Rattus norvegicus: one gene and its partner. The protein of the gene in region 1 interacts with the protein of each later gene in a pairwise test. Links are inferred from orthologs where the notes say so. Each region holds a gene or a part of one and is shown in the gene's direction. Other genes may lie near its edges.

Region 1 (10,984 bases):
TTATGTTGGTTTATGGTTTGAATGGTTCCAGTCCATCAAGAGGACAAGGTTTGGTGGAGTTCACTGCCACAGGACCAAGAGGCTAGAATTCCTCACACACTGGAGTTCGAGAAGCAGGCCAGAATTACGACTTAGCTATAACCAACAGGCTTAGATTCCAGCTGCCTGCATTCCCTAATCACATCCCACTTTTAAGAGGTTTACAATCTCCCTAAAGAGAGCCACTGGCTGAGAACTACACATGGGAGAATATTTCACATTCAAACCGCAGTACTAACAATCAATTCTGATGTCTTAGATCCAGTGCAAGATCACTGGTCAAGCAGATGCCTAATAGTTACTCAATTAACAATTAGAGGCAGGAGATAGGAAGATACCAGGCAACAGGAGCTATGGACTGGACAATTTCTTTACCGAAGTGGCTGGGTAAGTGGTCAGGGACTGTTTGCTATCTCCAGGTAGGAGATCTCAATTTGAGTTTCTCTTTATAAGGAGAACCAGAAATTCATGGCTACTTTCTCCAGTGTGGTGGAATTGAGAGAGCCTTTGAGCCGTGCTCAGTGGAAGCATGGTTAATAAAGACAAATGGAGAATTGGGGCAATTACCTATATATTTGAGTCTCAAGATCTGCTATCATCTGGGGTTTTGTACAAAAACACACACTCCAAATAAAAAAAATATTTTAGCCTGAATCACCCGTATCATAGCAAGATTTTACTTGAATGACCCAGACAGACTACATCAATTTTCTGCTTTCCTTTGCTGTGGAAACTGGGCTGTTAGTGGTTACTTTGGAAATAAAAGAATGTATCAAAGAAAAAAACCCAAAAAACAAAATACAAAAACCAAGGTTGTAACCTAGAAAAACTTCTAGAATTCCATCGTTTGGTGTTTCTTAATAAAGTGAATCACATGAAGAGGGGTCGCATAGGCTGGGCCTCTCTTATTATTGATAAGGATGTAGCAGATGGCATGCTCTTGATGAAAGGTTATTTTACATGTGGAAGTACACATGTGCGGAAATGAGGGAGACACCCCGCTTCACTTGGAATGGTCCTGAAGATTTGATTGGTTCTGTATTTGTTTCAATTGTACCACCGTCCACTTCTTCAGTTAAATTGTCCTCTGTTATTCATCATTCAGTTAGTCTAATACTGTTAAATACAGTCTAATTAGACGTTTTTCCATCAAAGGAGAGTTTTGCCCCATGAAAAAGCACAGAATATTTTAAAACAATGTTTTTTTGGTCTTGGCAAACATCTACCTACCTACCTACCTACCTACCTACCTACCTACCTACCTATCAGTCTCTCTCTCTCTCTCTCTCTCTCTCTCTCTCTCTCTCTCTCTCTCTCTCTCTCTCTCATCTGTAGTGAACTCATGCGAAAGCTAAACTGCGGAACGACTCCAGTACAACACACACCTCCATGTTTGTTGCCTGGGTGCGGTTCTGTGTGTCCTCAGAAGTTGCAGCAGAGGTCTATGGCATGGAGGCTTGACTTGGATCCCTGAGTTTGAATACCGGCTCTAGCCAGTGTATGTAATCTCAGCATCCCATAGCTTCCTTGCCAGTCAGTAGCACCTGGCTTCGTGTTCGTGGGTTGTAAAGTGCTTCGAGCACCTGTCCTGACACCATAGACACCTGCATTCATCTGGAAGACATTTTCTGGTGTTTTCATTCTTTCCCACTTAAGAAAGCATAGTATAGAATGCAAAGGGGGGCATTATAACTGTCCCTTAGGGACACACTGTCTCAGATACATTTTTATATTACACATGTGTATTTGCAAAGAAAAGGGCATAGAGACAGGGGAGAAGGCTCAGTGGATAAGACTGCTTGTTCTGAAGGCATGAGGTCTTGAGTTTGAAACTCTGGCATTGTGTAAAGATGCGGGGCATGGCTATGTGTGGCTGCAATGCCGGCCAACCTACACATTCCATTTCTCTCTGTCTCTGTCTCTGTCTCTGTCTCTCTCTGTCTCTCTGTCTCTCTCTCTCTCTTTCTCTCTCTCTCTGTGTGTGTGTGTGTGTGTGTGTGTGCACGCGTACTCGCATGTGATAGGTGGATCCCAAGAGCTCACTGGCCGAGTAGCCCAGCCAGCTTCCCATTCCCTGTCTCAAGGAAACGCTGTGGAGAGCAACAGAGAAGCACACCAGTGTCTTGCTTTGGCCTCTGCATCATGGACAGAGGTGTGTGCTTCCCTGTGTCTGTCCACTTATTCATATGCATCCCCTCCACAACAAAGCAATACTCGACACTTGCTTCTGAGTCTGATGGATGTTCTATTTAGAGAACTCCTGCCTTAGGTAATTTTCTTCTCTGGATTGATGTGTACAACTGATTCTAACAGGTAGCTAAATGCTATTTGAAAGCATGATTCATCCAACCTGGCAAATCAAATAACAGAGGGATTCAATTAATTTAGAGGGAAAAAAACCACTTGGCTTTTAAAATGTTTGAACTATTCAAAACATTTTGTTGACTCACTTACCTCTCACAGGAAATCATAATAAAAACAATAAAGCCAGGGCCATCTTTGCCATGCTGAGGCTATAAGATTATTCCTTCTATAAATGAGTCTTATTAAGTTTAATGTTCTTTAATTTGAAATAAAACATTTCAGACAAGAAGTAAAACGCATCCCACTCTGTGAGGTCTGGGGGAATTAAATTCAGACACATTTGTGTATTTGAATTATTTTGAGGCCAAACTCACTAGGGTATAGAAAACCGAAGACAACTACGACAATTTATTATAATGAATGTGTAGATCATCAGTCATGAGACATTTGGAGTCTTTTCTTTTCCCAGCCAGTTCTGAGATGCTTTTCTTACCCAGCATGCACCAGTGTTCATGCATAGGGATTGAGACAGTGACCAGAGGGGTCTCTTCTGGTCTTTTGCCTGCTACCATTCTTATTTCCAGAAAAGCATTCTTTCTCAGACTTATAGAATAGGAGAAAAAAACCACAACAAGACATTAAAACAACAACCCAGCATTTAAAGCACATGTTACATAAAACACAACAGATTTTATGAGCTATTAAAATTTCAAAAGGTCTAAAAATATTAAGGGTCTGTGGATCAGAGGTAATGTGTTTGGTTAGCACATCAAAGTTTTGGGCCTATCCCTAGTACCAAAAAGGAAAATAAATTTAATATATTTTTAATCTCAGATTATTACTTCAGAGAATTTGTCTCTGAGTTTAAAAAAAAAAGAAAAGAGAAACAAACAAAATAAGTTTTTAAAAAGTCAGTCATATTGGCTAATGCCTGTAATTTTAGCATTTAGGGATCCTGAGAGTTTAAGGCTCTGAACTGCAGAGTGAGACCTTGTCTCAACAAAACAAAACAGAACAAAACAAAACAAAATGCAAGATTAAATCCCCAAAGCAAACAGGACTTGTAAATCACATCAGGAAATGTCAAGCAGTTTATAGAAGGCTCATACACCTGAAGGATTTCAGAGTTAGCTCGGGCTAAGCTGGTGCAAGTTTCCAAAATCAGGAACACCATTAATCAGTGACAAGAATTGCTGAGCGACTGGCTTAGCTCTTTGAGTCAATGAGTGAAAGAGAAACTCTGAGAAGCGCTCACCTTAGAAACACCCTTATTACCCTTAGCTAATTTTGGGTGAGGAAAATTTGTGTGCAGAAAGAACGCTTTCTTATTTTATTTTTCCAAGTCAACATGCTCGTCTAGACTTTGAGCTTTATTGCAAGGAAAGAGAAAATGGGTTGGATCACCTTTAAAAAAAAAAAAAAGTCTCAGCTAGCTTCACCAGAAGCTTGTCCCTCTGCAAACATCTATCTGTAGGCAAACGCTGAGAAAGTTGGAATCAGGCCTGGCTGGAGAGAGGAAAGCCACCCCCTCCCCTATTATCCGGAGCAGAGTTTCCAATCCCAGTCAAGTGGTGGTGCTAGCTCTTTGCTTCCGAGTCTGCATTTCCTAATTTCATGGTCATAACAGCCTCCGAACGGATTCTACCAAAACCGAAAACACAAGGCTCCATGCTCAGCAGCCCTGTGACGCCAGGAGAGGCCAATGCCCCCTCCTCTGCCATTGTCTAGCCTAAGAAGGCAGTCTCTGGGCGACATTCTTCTAAAGCAGGTACTTCTATTTATCTCCATTTCTTTACAATTTCCCCCCCTTTCGGCTATAATGTGCTACTGTGTGCAATCAGGATGGAGTCTCAGAGTTCACTTCTGTGAAAATATGCCCATTTTTCTCTCGCTCATTGCTCCAGGGATATTTTATAAAGTTTCTGGCAACCGTTATCATGTTAAACCTGACCTTGGTCCCATGGAAATTCACTCTGGGAGCTACATTCAGCTGAGTCAGACACAGTTATCTGTTCGTAGTGCAGCACTGACAGGCTCTCTCTGCCTGCCTCAGATCGCGTGTATTTATTGGTCCCAGGTCGAGCTATGGGGGATTCTGTATGGTTGAAACGTGCGCGAGTTTAAAAAAGTTCCTGCTCAGACTTCCCTCTGTACTCGTCTCAACATGACCTCGTTTCTTAATCTTCGGTGCCGTGAGCTTATGTGAGCTTGATCTAAGCGACTGCAAAAAGCCATCATCTGTTTTCCTGAATAGGCAAACGAGTTTTCTGAAAAGCTACGCAATCTAGTAATGCATCTTGTCTTGAAGTTGCCCTACAATTGTAGGCAAGTTCTGAGCCCTGTGGGTTTGGGTTTGGTTCTCTCTAACCTGAAAATAACCATGGGAAACTGCTTTTTTTTTTTTTTTTTTTTTTTTTGAGGCAAGGTGGTATGCGGGTTAAGGACGGTGCCACAGAGCGAGTGCCACTTGTCGGTGACGTGGTAGTTACAAAAGGCAGAAAAGGATACTTTCATTTTGGCCACAGGAAAGCCACCCGTTTCCTGTAGTGGAAAGTCTCATGCTTGACCAAGAAGTTGCCAGTGTTTGTTCTCTCTGACTTGCCCAAAAAAGTCTAGCTGGTTAAAATTTATTTTAATTTTTTTAAACCTAATGTAAGGGTTGGGTTTTATTAAGATGATGTTCAATCGTGACATGCGGTACCACTCAAGGGTGCCAGATGTTTTAAAATTAGCTTCTTGGGCCAAATCTAATAGATTTACAGAGCACCTCCACCCACAAGGTTTATGGGAAATGTATTTGGTTTTGAATTTGAAACAATAATGTATGCAGAGAGGACGGATGTTGGAGTACCAATTTAAAGTATTTGAACTTTTTTTTTTTTTAACAAAGTCAGTAGGGTGGGAACCTCTGTCATCTCAGGGATCAGAAACCTATTTATATTCATTAAAATTCTTTCCTGTTTCTCAAAAAAAAAAAGGCGGCAAATGTTTGCCCACATTTTGTCAATAGCCCCTGAAGGCCCATTCTAGGCCCTGTACAGCTGTAATGCTATAGAGGTTGGATCCAGTCTTGTAGCGACTGGTGGATTTTTGTCATAGAAATTAGAAGTAACACTGACATAGAGATGAGAGACAAGGCAACCAGGAAAATTGGCAAAATATTGAGTGTGAATGCCAGGGTTATATTCATGAGTGGGAGGTGCTGTTTTGACACGTGAAGGTTGTTGTTCAGTTTGGTTGCCCACGACAGTAAAGGAAGAGAATAAGACAACTTGCTTTCCTTCAGCCTTTCACTCAGTTTAGGACTTAGAACCACTTGCTTCTCGTCGTCCTCAGACATACAAACTCCTAAGCCCGTAGACATCCCACCAGATGCCTGCTGTGTGTGCTAACACAGGTGGTTATCTCTGCCTGTCTCTGTACTTTTGGTCCACTTGGTCAGAATGTGTGCTTGAGATGAGGCCACAGTTGAGCTGAAGTTTGTTCCATGGGTACAGGGAGGCTGTAGAGAAAAACAGACAAGAGAGACCACCATGCCTCTGTTCTGCTAAAACATGTAGGAGGTGTGATCCTGTCCATCCACCTCTGCCTGGGTTGACTGGCTGTTGTTTACTGAGAAAGTGATACCACCTATGAGGTTCCTGCAAAGAGCCTAACAAAGTGTGTGTGTGTGTGTGTGTGTGTGTGTGTGTGTGTGTGTGCATGAGGTATATGTGTGTAGGGGCATGTGTGTTCCACAGTGAACATGTGGAGGTCAGAGGACATTTTGTGGAGTCACTTCTCTGCCATCTTCTCATGGGCTCTGGGGATTGAACTCAGGACACCAGGCTTGCTCAGCAAGTACTTTACCCCTGAGCCATCTCACTGAACCCCCTGATGCTCTTTTTAAAGGTAAGCACTTTACAGGTAACTTTTGCTAAAGATAGTTATGATAGCTGTGATTTCTGTCTCTCTAGCAACATTTCAATAGTCTTCTTCTACATCAGCCTAGGTTAGCCTAGTTAGGGTTCTGGTTAGCAAAACTTCATGCATGACTTTCTAGGGTGTGTGTGTGTGTGTGTGTGTGTGTGTGTGTGTGTGTGTGTGTAGACAGCCTCCAGCCGTGTGATGAAGCTTGCATGTGAGCTGCGGGTGGTGATGGGATGTTAGACAAAGTGTCATGTCTTCCTTGCGGTGTCAACCTCCTTGTGAGATGTTCTGTGGTGTGAGATGCGTGCGATGTAGGAGAAGCACTTTCTTTCCTGGTGCAAAAAAAAAAAAAAATCAAGAGTCTTGTTGGTGACACAGCCGCCACTCCATTATCTCAACTACAGTTTTCAGGAGTGTAATCTGGCTTACCCTCTCACACTCACCAGTTCTCAACCCTTTGGGGGAGGGGTCTCCCTGTGGAGAGTGGATGTGGATATGGCACTGCTGTCGTGAAGAGGATCACAGGACCTTCTTGCTACTGCTCATCACAAGGAGATGGGTGGGTGGGAAGGAGAGGACAATCATAGGGGAAGCCTCAAGTTGTCCAAGGATTGTCAATATGCGAAGTGGTTGGTGGCCCTGGTAACTGTCCTTCTCTGGAGTGGTGGCATTCCAGTTTTTTGTTTTGTTTTGTTTTGTTTTAAGATTTCTTATTCCTTGGTTCTTGTCAAAGCATTTGGCATTTGCTTAGGTGGCCATCAGCTGAACTCTCTAAATGGATCTCCTTCCCCACTTCCTTCAGAAGAGCCTCCCTGGTCCTTCTGCATTGGGGGCCTACAGGCTTGAGACCCTTTCTATCTCTGCTTCTCACTGGGAGAGTTCCTTTGATGATTGTGATAAGGAAATCCACAAGGGATTTTAAGTTTCTCTGCAAGATGGCATTCATCCTTTGACCTCTGAGCTTTATTTGCTACAATCAGTCATTCATTAGGACTTGCTTTATTATCAAACCTTACAAAGAAAGGGAACTTAGTAAAGCTGGTCACGTTGTGTAGTCCGTAATCCATTTCTGCATCTTTGTGTATAAAGCTATGCAACACTCGCACATCCTTTTCCAATAAGAGACACTGGGAATCCCATTTGCAAGAACTCTTGCTACTGGATATTTTGGCATCCAATTTATTCAGAAAAGAATGTAGTTCTGTTTGGCTTACTTACTAAATTCTTAATTTTGTCCAGGAATGAGAACATTGCAAAGCCCAACTGTGGCCCATTAAGGTCTGTTCTAAAGGGTCTGCTGCAGACCCTATTGGAAGTGCCCTAGGTGCCCACAGTGGGTTTTTGCTTAGGGTTGCATTGTGGTATGAAGAGGCTGGTACTCATCCACATTAAATATGCAACAGATGCCTTTGATTGAACACGATGCAGTCTTGGTGCTCTAGATGACTTTTATTATCAGAAGTGGAGAGTTGGGCACATAGTATGATGTGTCATCAATACAGAATAACCATGACATATGCTAATTTAGTAGAAAGCAATGTGTACTTCATAGAGATGAGAGCCATGGTACGGACACACAGGAAAGTCACTGCTGATTGGCATGGGGGACTTTGGGACAGGAAATGACACTTGGCCTTGACCCAAGAAGGATGGGTATGCTGCCCTGGGAAGATGTTAGGGGGTAAAAGATGCTATTCCAAGGTAAGGGACAATCACCTTGGGGGATCAGGAGTTGATCTGATAGGAAGATAAGTAGGAAGTATGCAGGGAGGTATTAGCAGTGAATTAGGACCGTGAAGTTAAATGTCATTTTAAGGACCTTGGACTTCATATTGGAGGCATTAAAGATTTTGGTGTGAGGTTGCAATGAAATGAGGTTTCCTTCTCTTTGGAAATAGATTAAGGTTTTTAGTTGAAGAGTTAGCACATCAATTTGGAGATGATTGGACTAGCTTAGGAGAGGTGAATTGCTAATTTAAAAGGAACAACTTAAATTGGGCAATTTAGCAAATCTTTTAAGACCCACTTTCTGAATTATGATTATTTATGGGGGCTAAAGACTTAGTCTCAAAAATGGCCAGTAGAGAGAGGCATGGGATGGGAGTCAAAAGATATTACTGTAAAGCGAGCCAGGTGGTGCAAGCCTTCAATCCCAGCTACTCAGGAAGCTGAGGCAGGAGATTCACTATTGGAAGGTCTACAGGGGTTATATGGTGAGATCAATACCAGCTTTGAAACTTGAAACTAATCCCCTTCTCGAAAGAGTCAGTTAGGAAAGGGTGAGGGATGTGACTCAGTATTAGAGAGCTTACTTAGAATATGCAAGATCCTGTGTTTATTTTCCAGCAATGAACAGACAGAAGACAGACAGACAGACAGACAGGCGTATGCTGAGTATTTTGCTATTTTTATAATTCAAAGATGGGTCTAGCAAGTAGCTGCCAAATGGCTGCTAGAAGGTTCCATTCAGGGATCACTAGGGACTAAACAGCACACTTTATATGCAAAATGCTTTTCTCCCTGGGGTATTTTTATAGCAAAATAATCTTATTTGGATAGAATATAGATTCATAAGAAAACAGCTCCTATTTGTATGACATGGAAACTGCTGAAATTATTGGTAATTTATACATACTTGTCAACCATGTACTCCAACATGCACTTTACACTGTGTACTCAAGCAGCCCTTTGACTTTGGAGGCCCAATTCCCTAGCAAGTAAGTGAAGGCATGGCACACCGGGTATGACCCCAACGTTGGTAGCAAATCCTGCTTCTGTACCTCCTGTCTTCAGCAACCTCCGTTTGGAATAGTGAGTCAAGACATTAGCATATGCACAATTAAGCCCATAGGTGCCAGTCTGGGAGTACAAGATGACTGATGTCATTGGAGGCTCTCTTAGGGAAGTCACTGAGTCCAGTGACTGGAGGTCCAAAGAAAAGGGGTGGAAGGAGGGTGTGCTTTTTCCCTTTCTCTTTTATCTTGTCCTTTAAAGGAGTAAGGTATGGTAAAATGTTACGGTGACAGCTGTAGAAGAAAATGCTTGTCTACTGGGGACAGGGATTGCACAGTCAGTAATCTCACTTCAGTTACAATGAATCTCAAAGGCTGCTGAGTGTCCCAGATTTCCTGTTTTGAGCAGAGAAGTACAGGGAGAGGGTGACAGGGTGTTACTCTGCTAGAGGGACATTGCTCATGTTGCTTTGGTGTCCTTCCCTCTGGTTCATTTTCAAAATTCACCAATCAAGGGAAGGGCTGCTTCAAATTTAGTGTGCAACAAAAACAAAAAAGATTCATAGAAAAATGTTTTCTAGGAAAGGCAAAAACCAGAAACCAAGAGTCAGCTCACTGTCGTGCTCCAGTTGCATAAGTAGGGTTCAAGTGCTGAGAATTAATCACTGAGGACAGTTCACAAATTATTTGTGCTCCGATGAGACAGGCCCTCAATCTCCTTCCTTCTCACCCTCTGGACTCGGTCCATCTCACTCCTTCCTCAGCGTTTAGAGTAGAAAGGACATTTAAACGTGCCAATTTTCTCCTTGTGGGAAGCCTAGCTCGTATGTTGAGCAAGGAAAGAAATTTATGTTGTTACACAGAAGAAGGCTGGGGATTTTGCAAGGCCTTAATTTGTTCATAGGGAGCGTTGTCGTCTACTGTCATTTATGTTCGAGACTAGAACACACCGAGCAGGTATAAAAAGTATAAAAGAATAGCTAACAGCCTGCACTTGACTTCTTCGTCCAGTTCTTCTGTTCAAAATTTATTGTCTTTTAAAAAAAGTATCAAACCTATTCTCAGAGGAGAGGTATTTTCTGTGACCACAAGGAAACATCTGTGAGGTCGAACCTTAGAGCAAAGAGCCAGTCAGAACATTTAGCAAGTGAGGCTTAGACTTCAGGAGAACAGAGTTAATCAAGGAAACGCTTAAAGCTATGAAGAAAGCAAATCAGAAAAGTTTCTTATCGCTGGCAAGCTGAGGCCCCGAGTTCATATTAATTAAGACATGTCAGAATCCACAATGAATCAAGTAGGGAGTGTCGTATTCTGGTAACTTTGGAAGCTGGTGTCAGTCCCGACGGCCAGGATTTATAGTAGATTATATAATGGAATCCTGATTTCTAAGACATCAAAGGAAAATTCTGGCTCTCTCCTCGTGCATTCTCTTAGGTCAAGCCTACCCAGCAACAAGCCAAGTGGAGGGTTGAGCAGGCAGGAGAGACGGCCAAACCTGATAATGCATAACCAGAAAGTCTCTGTGAAGGAAAAGAAACTGTGGACTGAAGTGGGGTAAAGAATGCGGGGCAACTTGGTCAATGTCCACAGTCCAGCTTTGCTGAATGGCAGCCAATCGCTTGCTTCGGGTAATTATTTAGAACCTGTTGCAAACACTGGGGCAGAAATGAAGTTTATCACTAAAGTGGTTGCATGTTTGTGCAAATTTTCTCCGTTACCAGTATCATCTGCGATTGTGTCTAATTCTGAGTATCTCCAGGGAGGGGATTTCACTCTCTTACATGTGTGGGCAGAAGTGGTGGAGGAAGCCTGTACCATCTGAAGTAACACCCGGGAGAGGTTTTTTTCACGTTTCTCCCCTCCAACATACATACATTCCCCACTGAAAAGGCTGATGCTTTCTATCAATTGGGGTTCATTGAATTTATATGTCTGTATCATCTTAATTTTAGTAGAACACAAGAAAGTATATCAGCCTGTAGAATAGGGTTTGAAGTACT
Region 2 (10,284 bases), on another chromosome or scaffold:
CTCACTGCACTGTGCTGGGGTGGGGTAGGTGGGTGCTTTCCTCTGTAACCTCCCCTCTCCATTCTGTACACTTTGCCTTACACTTCCCATGTGAAGGCTGCTCTGTCAGGATTACCTTTCCCCTACGAGAAGTTAGTCCAATAGTTCTTTATTCTTGTGTAGGAGTAGTTTAATAAGAGTAATAATAATAAGCAACCCACGTGGGCTTCACTTGAAAGTAATATCAGGGAAGGGCAAATGTGTACGGAGGGATCGGAAGATACAGTTCCTGTCTTGTATGAATGACTGAGCTGAAGTTAGCTGCACGTGGGTACATTTTACTTTTTGTTGGTTATGTGGCTTACACTTGCCACAGAAAGAAGGTTTGGTCTTAGCTCCCTTTAAGAAGTTTTCCTAAGTGCATTTATCACAACCACTTACTGACAGATTTATCTCTTCCCTGCTAAAGTCCACAGATAGTCTTTAAAAAGCATGTAGTACACATAGGCCTTTCCCCTCTGGTCTGTGCGTGTGCCAGGCGTCTGCTAGGATTGATGAGCAAACTACCAAAGTAGGAGCCACGGACTCTGGCACATGGTGTTGTTTTATAAAGAGCAATGCTTTGCCAGTTGATCAGACAAATTAAGGTGAGGGCACTCGTTTTTTGGAATGTCTGAAAAATTATTAGGCCCACAATTTCCAGGAGCCCTTCCCTGTCTGGTGAGCTCCTCGTGTGAGACTTGGGTCTTCTGGGGCTGGGCTGTGCAAAACAGGAGCTGCCAGCCACAGGAGAGAAATGAAAGTAACACAGTTTTACTTCATAGTTACACTAGCCGTATTCAACGCCCCTTATCCCTGTGAGGCTCACAACTGTCCTTTTGTATAGAAGATACACACACACACACGCACACACACGCACACACACACACACACACACACATTTTTAAACATGGTTTTTCTGTGTGGCCCTAGTCTGGTTTGTAACTCATGATCTTCCTTCCTCAGTCTCTCCTGACTAAGGGGAAGTGATAGATGTGTGTGCCACTATTTGTGAATTGGACAGATTAGGGAACGTTGGTGTAATTGTGAAAAGCTTTGTTGGACAACAGTCTAGAGACTATCATAGTTTCTTGATGATTGGCTACTGGACAGGGCTCAACTACTATAAGCTCTCTTTAGGTGTCTGCATACCTGTGGGAATAATACCTTTGGATTTCATTATTGATCCAAGTCTATCTCTTGTGCACTGACCCTGGTGAGCAAAAAAGGGACTTTTCAAAGCAGTCGTTCCTTTAGCTCCTAGAGCTCTTTCTTATCGGTTGCTGCCAGATGGCACTTCTCCAGAAGTGTGGTCTCATTTTTATGGACTAATTTGCATAACTTAGAACTTAACTGAAACTATTTTTAACACTTACACGTGACAGTTGAAAGTAACTGTTTCAAGTAATTAGCATAATTTGAAAGTAACAGCTGCATATGTGTTAAACCGTTTCTTAAAATTTGCTCTATGAAATGTGTTTTGGAGAGAAATCTTTCCTGGAAGAAACTTAGTGCTGTGACTGCTTTGCAGCAGTCTCACAGCCAGAGGGGGGAGTAAGAAAGGACAGTGTGAACATTGGTGGGGGGCTCTCACAGGCAGAGGGGGAGTAAGGACAGTGTGAACATTGGGGGGACTCTCACAGGCAGAGGGGGCAGTAAGAAAGGACAGTGTGAACAGTGGAGTGGGGGGAGAGCTTAGTGCTCTGGATGGGAATGTTTAAGTCATGCGACTTCAGTGTGCCCACGTCTCCTTTAGCCCAGAAGATTGGCAGTGCCACTTCTTAGCCAGGCCCTATAGTGTGTAAGTAACCACAGTGCCAGGTACTGGGGAGGCTGAAGTAGGGTTGTGTGGGCAAAATAAGGTGGGACCCTGTCCTTAGCTAGTTTGAACTTGGAAGCAAATGTTTTGTTGCTGGTAATTAAATTAGCTTTGATTACAGATAATAGAATTGATTGTTATATCAAATGTTTATAAATGGTTTTCCCATCCCTGCTTATTGGCAGCCTCAGTCAGACACACCTCTCTAACCTCTGCTGCTCACCCCTCCAGCCTCCCTCTGGACTTCTAAAGCTTTCTCTGAGTTGGTGCCTGACCTGGATCAGAATCTTAAGGTGGCAGTGGTGCCTTTCACAAACATTTATTATTACTCAAAATCATCAGCAGATACCATCCCCGTAACACAAAGCTTTTTAAACCCGGTTTAATCTTTACATTTTGTAAGTCCACGTGTGATCACTTGTAATAAAGCTTGTGTTGTCAAGAAATGTTTTCTTATGAAAATAAAAATCTACAAGAGTTCTTTAATAAAAAGATCCCAGAAGAACAAATAGAAGTTTCGGAATTCATAGTTTAAACATACCAGTTTTTTTTTCTTTTTTGTTCTTTTTTTTTTTTTTTTGGTTCTTTTTTTCGGAGCTGGGGACCGAACCCAGGGCCTTGCGCTTCCTAACCAAGCGCTCTACCACTGAGCTAAATCCCCAGCCCCAAACATACCAGTTTTTAAAGATGTATTTACCTTATTTATATGAGTCCACTGTCGCTGTTCAGACACACCAGAAGAGGGCATCGGATCCCATTACAGATGGTTGTGAACAGCCGTGTGGTTGCTGGGAACTGAACTCAGGACCTCTGAAAAAGCAGTCAGTGCTCTTAACCTCTGAGCCATCTCTCCAGCCTGAGATTATCCAAATTTTATGTCAGTCCACAATTTCCTTCTTGCTATAGCTGTATGGACATCAGTGTTGAGAGTAAAATGGCCAAGCATGGAAGGACACATCCAGAATCACACCACAGAACTTTCTCTGAAACACTACTAAATGACTCACTGTTAGAAACATTTTGTGTGTTAATCATAAGCAAAATCTCACTGTGGCTTCTGGTAGAAAAGGCAATTCTCACAACAAATAAGACAACAGAAAAGAGCGTGCAGAGAACACGCACTCCTGCTTCTCCCGCTGTGTCTGGCTAGCCTCTAGTTTCCACAGCTGTGATGAGCCGTCTTCCCACAGGTGACCTACTCACAATTCACCACAGACTGCTCTCTGAGCTGCTCAGACAGCCAGTTCTACCCAGCTGCCTCGGTTCTCTCCTTTTCCCCACACCAGAGACCGGCACAGATTGAGTGTGGTTGTCAGCCCCGCACCTGTGAGCCCCAAGGGCCCCATGGCCGTGCTTCCAGGAAGACTGGAGAACAATGTGGGGCTTGCCCTGGTTCAGTGCCCTGAAGTAGTCATGTCCTCAACCAGCTGTTTCTACTTAGCCTTACTCGTAGCTGGGATTCGTGTTCTCCGGTGCCTCTCTGTTCTCGCTTCGATATTCCCTTGGTGGTATCTTGGGCTTCAGATGCAGAGTTGAGCTGACTTGTCCAAGACCACAGCCACGGGAAGCAGAACTTAGTTTTCCTATGTTCATCGTTGCTCTGTGGAACCCTGGAGTAGGCGAGCACTGCCGCGCAGACCCCTGTTTGTGCACAGTTGAGGGAAAGTCCCCCCTGAAAATTGTTGTCTGAAAGCTGTTGATGCTGCGTTAGCATCCCAGGGAGTTACTGCTTGTGGCCATGGATTTTGGTGATGGCTTTACCTGCCCCCATTACTGACTTGGTCGGTGACTAGCAGAAAGGTCGTTTGGATGTAAGAAATGCATTAAGGCTGATGCCATTAAAGCGGAAGTGCTGACCATGCTGTTCACCGGTGCTTTGTCTTTGCAGGAAGATATTCCTCGCCAGCTTGTCTACATCGGTCTTTACCTCTTCCACATTGCTGGGGCTTACCTTCTGAAGTGAGTTGGGGTTTGGCCATGGGTGTGGCTGGCAGGTAGCGCGCTAATTTGTCTGAGTTGGTAATTAGCCTTTCTTCTTTGTGTTTCTTTCAACAGCTTGAACCATCTGGGCCTTGTTCTTCTGGTGCTGCACTATTTCGTTGAATTTCTTTTCCACATTTCTCGTCTATTTTATTTTAGTGACGAGAAGTACCAGAAAGGGTAAGTGCTGTCCTCTCTTTGGGGATTTGCAGTCAGTGACTAAGTTGTTGTCATGCCTGTGTCCTTGAGAATTCTACAGTTGCGTTAGTAGTACATGAAAAGGAGGCAGAACCACACTTAATATTTGTACTGTGGACTGGAGAGATGACTCAGTGCAGAGGACCTGGGTTTAATTCCCAGCACCGACCTGGTGGCTCAGCCATCCGTAACCCCAGTTCCAGGGGATCCAATGTTCTCGTGTGGTCCCAGCAGGCACTATGCGTACACATGGTACACGGACAACACCCACATGTTCACATAAATGAGTAGATAAATAGTTTTAAAAACCAGTGTTCATAGTCTATACTCTATTCTTCCAAATAGTGTCTCTCAGCTGGAAGGACACTGTATTGGACCGAGTGTCTCTGAGGCTGCAGTATCACGGCTTTCTTTTGAGAAAAGGAGCAATAAAGAAGAAAACGTTCAGGAGAAAATAAAGGGACAGCCTGGTGCTACTCAAAGACCTAAGGTTGTCTCTAGAAGCACAGAAAGGTGTAAGGAGAGAACCAAATCCACACAGCTGCCCTCTGACCTCACATGGCATGCATGGGTCCTTTCCCCTGCAGCATGCACACCATAAAGGAAATTGTTTAAAAACGGAAAGAAAATAGAAAATGGCTGATATAGTCTTAAGGCTATGGAAAGACTTTGATAGAGACTCAGATGGGAAGGTAACTTGCAGCAGGTGACGTCTGTGGCCCTCTGAGAAGGGAGTTGGTAACGGTTGTTTATAGCAGCACTGGCTTGGCCCCGTGCTCAGCATGTTGCAGTCGCTCACTGTAACATAAGTTCTAAAGCACATTGTGAGTACTTCACAGTGAACAAAATACTCAATTAGTTCTGGAAAACCTGACTATGGTATCCAATGCTGTGAACCTCTGATAGGATGCCACATTGTGTAGTGTTTCCCAGGAATTTGAATACAGAAATCCTTTTGCAGAATAAGAAATGCTGTTTTTAGGGACTAGAAAGATGGTTCGGTGGGAAAATGCTTACAGTGCAAGCAATAGGACCCAAGTTCAGATCCCTAGCCCCATATAGAAAGCCAGGTATGGGGTAACAGTGAGATTATTCCAGGGCTGGGCGAACCAGGCTAGCAGTCAGTGAATTCTCTTTTCAGTGGCAGACCTTGTCTCAGTAAGGTGGGGATAACTGAGGAAGACGCCTCACTGATCAGTCTTCACAGGCTCAGCCACACACGTGCACGCCCAGAACACGCATTTGCTCAGGGGGATCTAAGTCCCTAAGAACCGTCTCTAAAACGGTTTTCTTCTGTGACTTTGCTTGTCTTCCTACAGGTTTTCTCTTTGGGCGGTTCTTTTTGTTTTGGGAAGACTTCTGACCCTAATTCTTTCAGTCCTCACTGTTGGCTTTGGCCTGGCAAGAGCAGAGAACCAGAAGCTGGACTTCAGTACTGGGAACTTCAATGTGTTGGCGGTTAGGTACAGTTCCTTTCCCCTCCCACTGTTGCTGGCCGTGCTGTCAGCCTCACCTGTCGCCTGTAATGAGTGAGGGGTACCTGGGGGCTGTTGTTGCTTTCTGTCCACATGGGACGTACTAAAGCCTTTGCTTAACCTCTAAGATGGATTTCTCAGTAAATTCCTTAGCATTAAGCATCAACAGAGTCTTCATCATTATCCAGATCATGGTAGAATACTTTATCCGTGGGTTTTCTGACATAGTCTAACTTCTGTGCTGTCCTCGGCCTGCCTTTCAGGATCGCGGTCCTAGCGTCCATTTGCATCACTCAAGCCTTCATGATGTGGAAGTTCATTAACTTCCAGCTTCGGAGGTGGAGGGAACATTCTGCCTTCCAGGCCCCTCCCGTGAAAAGGAAACCGGCTGTGACCAAAGGCAGGTCTTCCAGAAAAGGAACAGGTTGGTATTGACTTCAGTCGTGAGAGCACAGGTAGAAGCTATAGCTACGGGGCTTTTGCGTCCCAGAGCTCTGCTAGGTAGTTCTGCACACGGAACAGAGCAGCGTGCGGTCAGCCGTGACTGCTTCGTGGCACAGTGTTCCTCTGTGTGTGTTGGGAAGAGGCGTCTGTGCCGTCTGGAGGTCAGAGGCCCCTGGGAGGCCGTTCTTCCATCTCCCGTGGGCTCTGGGGATCGACTGACAAAGCAGCCAATCGCTCAGATTCCGTGTCAACCATAGCGTAATATTTTTACATTTTTGTAAATTACATTTTTATTTATGGAGGGCGAGTGTGCACAGGCCTAGGTGTGCATGTGGAGGGCAGTGGACAAGGCTGGGGGAGCAGCCCTTTTCAGCTTTCTGGGGCCTGGAGGCGGAGCTCAGGCCCGCCCGCCCACCCACCTGGCAGCCGCACCTTCTCCTGCTGAGCCGTCAGGCTACGTGTGTGAACATGCCATACTTTGGCTGGCTGGAGGACATTGGGGTTCTGTGAATTTTTTTTAGCAGTAAGGTGAGGTAAGCAACCCTTGTCTTTGTCTGCACACTCCTCCGTTGTCTCCTGGGTGAGCATCTGCTGAGGAGCTGCGGGTCATTAGGGCGAGCCAGACTGTTGCTGCATAGTGACACCATGTTAGGGAGCTGCACCTTCCCAGCTTCGTTCTCTCCGTGATGAAGTTTAGGATGAGACCCATCTGAGCTCTGGCCTCTGCCAGATGTGTTTAAGAGCCTGCCACTGTGCAAACAGTGCAGTGCTTTGCTGTGTTATGTGGGTAGACACCCCCTTGATGTGTCTGTGTGGTTGGGTAGCTCACTGCCTTGCTGTGGTGAGGGGTGGGTAGCTCACTGCCTTGCTGTGGTGGGGGGGGGGGGGGTAGCTCACTGCCTTGCTGTGGTGAGGGGTGGGTAGCTCACTATCTTGCTGTGGTGAGGGGTGGGTAGCTCACTGCCTTGCTGTGGTGATGGGTGGGTAGCTCACAGCCTGGCTGTTTTTACAGGCTCTGGAAGATTCTCCAGTTTTTTTCCTTTTCAGGTTTTGGTCATTTCAGGTGTCTAGCATTTCTGTGTGAGTTTTAGGACCCTCCCTTTAGTGTGTGCAAAAAGCACTTGGAGTTTTGCTTCAGAATCCTTTAATCTGTAAATTGCCTTGGGGAGCATGAACAGGGATGTCTTTCCATTTATTCCGCTCTTTAATTTCTTCCAATTAAATTTTATAGTTATCAACCTAAATGTCTAGAACTTTGATTAAATTTCTCCCTAAATATTTTACTCTTTTGGATGCTATAAAATAGAATCATCTCCTTAATTTCATTTTCCGATTGTACAGTGCAAAGTATACAAGTGCAGTCGATTCTGCAAATCGATCTGGTCTCCTGCAGTCTTTGATGGACTTGGGTTAAGTGGTTTAGTGAATGTGAGTTCTTTTGGATCATCTATCAGTGAAAATAGTTTATGCAGTTCCTGCCAATCCAGAATCTTCATGTTGTGTTGTCCTGAGTTGAGAACAGGATTGGCATGGTGCAGGTGTAGAGACCCACAAGAACGCTGCTGTCTTGCTCTCTGCCTCTCTCCCTTCAGACAGGGCCTCTTACTGAATCTGGACTGAGGATGGCAGCCAGTAGACCCAACAGTCCTCCTGTCCCCACTGTGGGACACAAGGAGTTACAGGTCCTTGTGTTCACAGCAGTCCACGTGGGTGGGGACATTTGCAGTCCTTCCTCAAGTTGATGCTGCAAGGACTGTCCCCAGCCCCCTCTCCTCTTTCCTTCCTGGCATACACCCATGTTAGGGACAGATGATACTGTACCTTTGCTCTGTTGGTTTTGATTGTTTGGTAGGATTTTTTCCATCTGTTCCTATAAAAGAGTGTCCTATAATTAGCACGTTTCCCCCTTGTCAGTTCTGCTAGCTTTATAGACAGCATTAAATCTGTCCGTCCCTTGGTCAGTCTGGTGCTGTTAGCTGTTGGGAGATTTAACAGTGACTCCATCTTTGCAGGTTTACACTCCAGATAAGGAACTAAGTCTCTGTTTAACCTCTCCCTTCCAGCAACTTGTGATTTTTTTTTTCAAGAATTTATGCCTGTTTTTCTTCTTAGTCAAAACCCCAGCATGTTAAGAGCTAAGATGTAGCTCAAGGTAGGGCACCCACCTAGAATCTGTGAATTCCAGGGTATAAGATCCACCACTGAGGGCTGGAGCGATGGCTCAGCGGTTAAGAGCACTGACTGCTCTCTAGAGATCCAGAGTTCAATTCCCAGCAACCACATGGTGGCTCCCAACCATCTGTAATGGGATCTGACACCCTCTTCTGGTGTGTCTGAAGACAGCAGCTACAGTGTACTTACTCATATACATAAAATAAATAATTCTTTAAAAAAAATTTCTAGTGCTGAAACAACGCAAAAGTACTTTTAAGTCTTTCTTGATTATTTTTTCTTTACATGTTTGTCTGTCTTTACTATGTCAGTTCCTACTCACGCTTCCAGCTCTAAGTTTGGTTGGCTCTTTTGCTGTTGGGGGTCCCCTTCTTGACTTCTGGTCATGGTCTTCACTGCTCCTTGAGAATCATCCAGAGTTGAGGGAAAACCATCTCCTCATCCTGTGTTGGCTACACTCCTCAAGCCTTGAGCGCTGTTTGGCTCCAAACACTTCCTAGTTGTTAATTTGGTTTCTCATTGGAGCCATAACTTTCCTGCTTGTCCTCTTTCTGGTGTCTAAATTGCACTGTGATTTAAGACTACCCTTCAAAGGATTTTCCTTCCTAAAATTTGCTGAGACTTGGATTACAGCTCAGCCTGTACCCAAGTTCAATAAATGCTTCTGTGTGCCCCACAGGTCACATATTCTATATATGGATGTGAACCCACATGCTCTGCCTCCCGCATGCCAGGATTGAAGTGTGTGCTACCACAGCGGGCTCACTGTCAGTTCACCCTCAGCTGTAAATGCTTCCATCCCTAATAACGTTTCTGTTTTATAAAGAAATAACCCAAATGGCTTTGCCATGCAGTGGGAGAGAGCCCCATGTCCTGTGGGGACTGCTGTGGAGGAGTATGTTTGTGAACATTGTGAGTTCACCAGTCCCCTGCCCCGCCCCTTCACTCGATTTAATGGCACTCACCTCCCTTTAACTTCCTGCTCCCAAGCCCTCCTTCACATTAGAGATCACAGATTTTCCCTGAGACTTTGGGACTTCACCCCGTCCCTGCAGAGACGTTGTGACTGACAGTTACTGCTCTCATTAGCTTATGATGCCAAGAACAACGCCCGCTGTCATGTCTCGTTTCAGAGAATGGTGTGAACGGCACGGTCACGTCGAATGGAGCCGACTCTCCTCGGAGCAGGAAAGAGAAGTCTTCCTAATGGGCCGGAAACTGACTGACTGATGTCCCCCAAAGAATCTGCTTTCTACTCTGTCCTTCAGCACTAGCGACTCTTCTGTTCTTGAAAATACAGTTTGCTCTTTGATTTTGCTGTTGCACTGTTCCTGCATTGTGAGGGGCGTCTGAGGGGAGGGTGATTGATTACTCTGAGGTGATTGATTACTCTGACTGAGAAATACTTTAGCTTAGACTCAGCTACCTGCCTTCAAATAGTTTAGGGACCACCTTTTTGTTTTTTTGTTTTTCCTTTTTGTCTTTAATGTTTTTCCCTAATGGTTTAGGGAGAAACCATTTACAAACACCCCCCCACACACACACATAACCAGTGAACATTTTTCTTGCTCTCACCAATTTTTTACAATATTATAGCAAGGTGACCTGTTCTAGGAAGGTCGTATTTTTTAAGTTGTCTTTCAGGGTGAAATGGAAATACTATAAAGTCAGATGTCAAACTTTTAATGTTTTCAGTGTTCTCTAATTTTTAGGAGTTTTTTGTAGCCTTTACACCTGAAAAAAAAAAAAAAAGATTTGTAAAATCACCCAAATAATTGTGTGCTTTATTTTCTAAGTCGTGGTTGTACATGCTACATCCCATTAAAATGTCCTGATAGCCGCTGCAAGGTCTGTTGTCATCTACTGGAGCAGATGTCTCGTTAGCATAAGGAAGTGAAGTACTTAGGAAGTAAAGTCTGTGCATTTCAACATTTATCGTCTGGCAGTCAGACAGTGTTTCCTGTGAGGAGGAATAGTCAACTCGTGTAGCCCTTTTGATATGTTTAGTACCTAACCGGGCTGCTTGTAAATTTGATGCACATAGCATCTTAATGAGATAGCAGTTAACCTGCAAGCCCTTTAAAGAAGTAATGCCTGTTTGATTTACATCTGTAGAAAACAGGTCAGGTAATTATATTTGGGAAACTAATGCACTAACTTTAAAGAAATTGAAAATTC

What was found. The genes of interacting proteins can lie anywhere in the genome.
Region 2: the proteins of Esr1 (region 1) and Tram1 interact in a two-hybrid assay, tested with the Homo sapiens proteins (2 studies listed by BioGRID). The link is inferred for Rattus norvegicus from reciprocal best matches to the Homo sapiens genes ESR1 and TRAM1.

What each region holds. Positions count from the first base shown.
Region 1 is NC_086019.1:43,508,033-43,519,016, forward strand, and holds the start of Esr1 (estrogen receptor), read left to right. Parts: upstream 1-3,657; 5' UTR 3,658-4,111; intron 4,112-10,984.
Region 2 is NC_086023.1:10,439,883-10,450,166, forward strand, and holds part of Tram1 (translocating chain-associated membrane protein 1), read left to right. Parts: intron 1-3,725; coding exon 3,726-3,796; intron 3,797-3,892; coding exon 3,893-3,997; intron 3,998-5,334; coding exon 5,335-5,478; intron 5,479-5,753; coding exon 5,754-5,914; intron 5,915-9,239; coding exon 9,240-9,313; 3' UTR 9,314-10,284. UniProt on the Homo sapiens protein: Involved in the translocation of nascent protein chains into or through the endoplasmic reticulum (ER) membrane by facilitating the proper chain positioning at the SEC61 channel.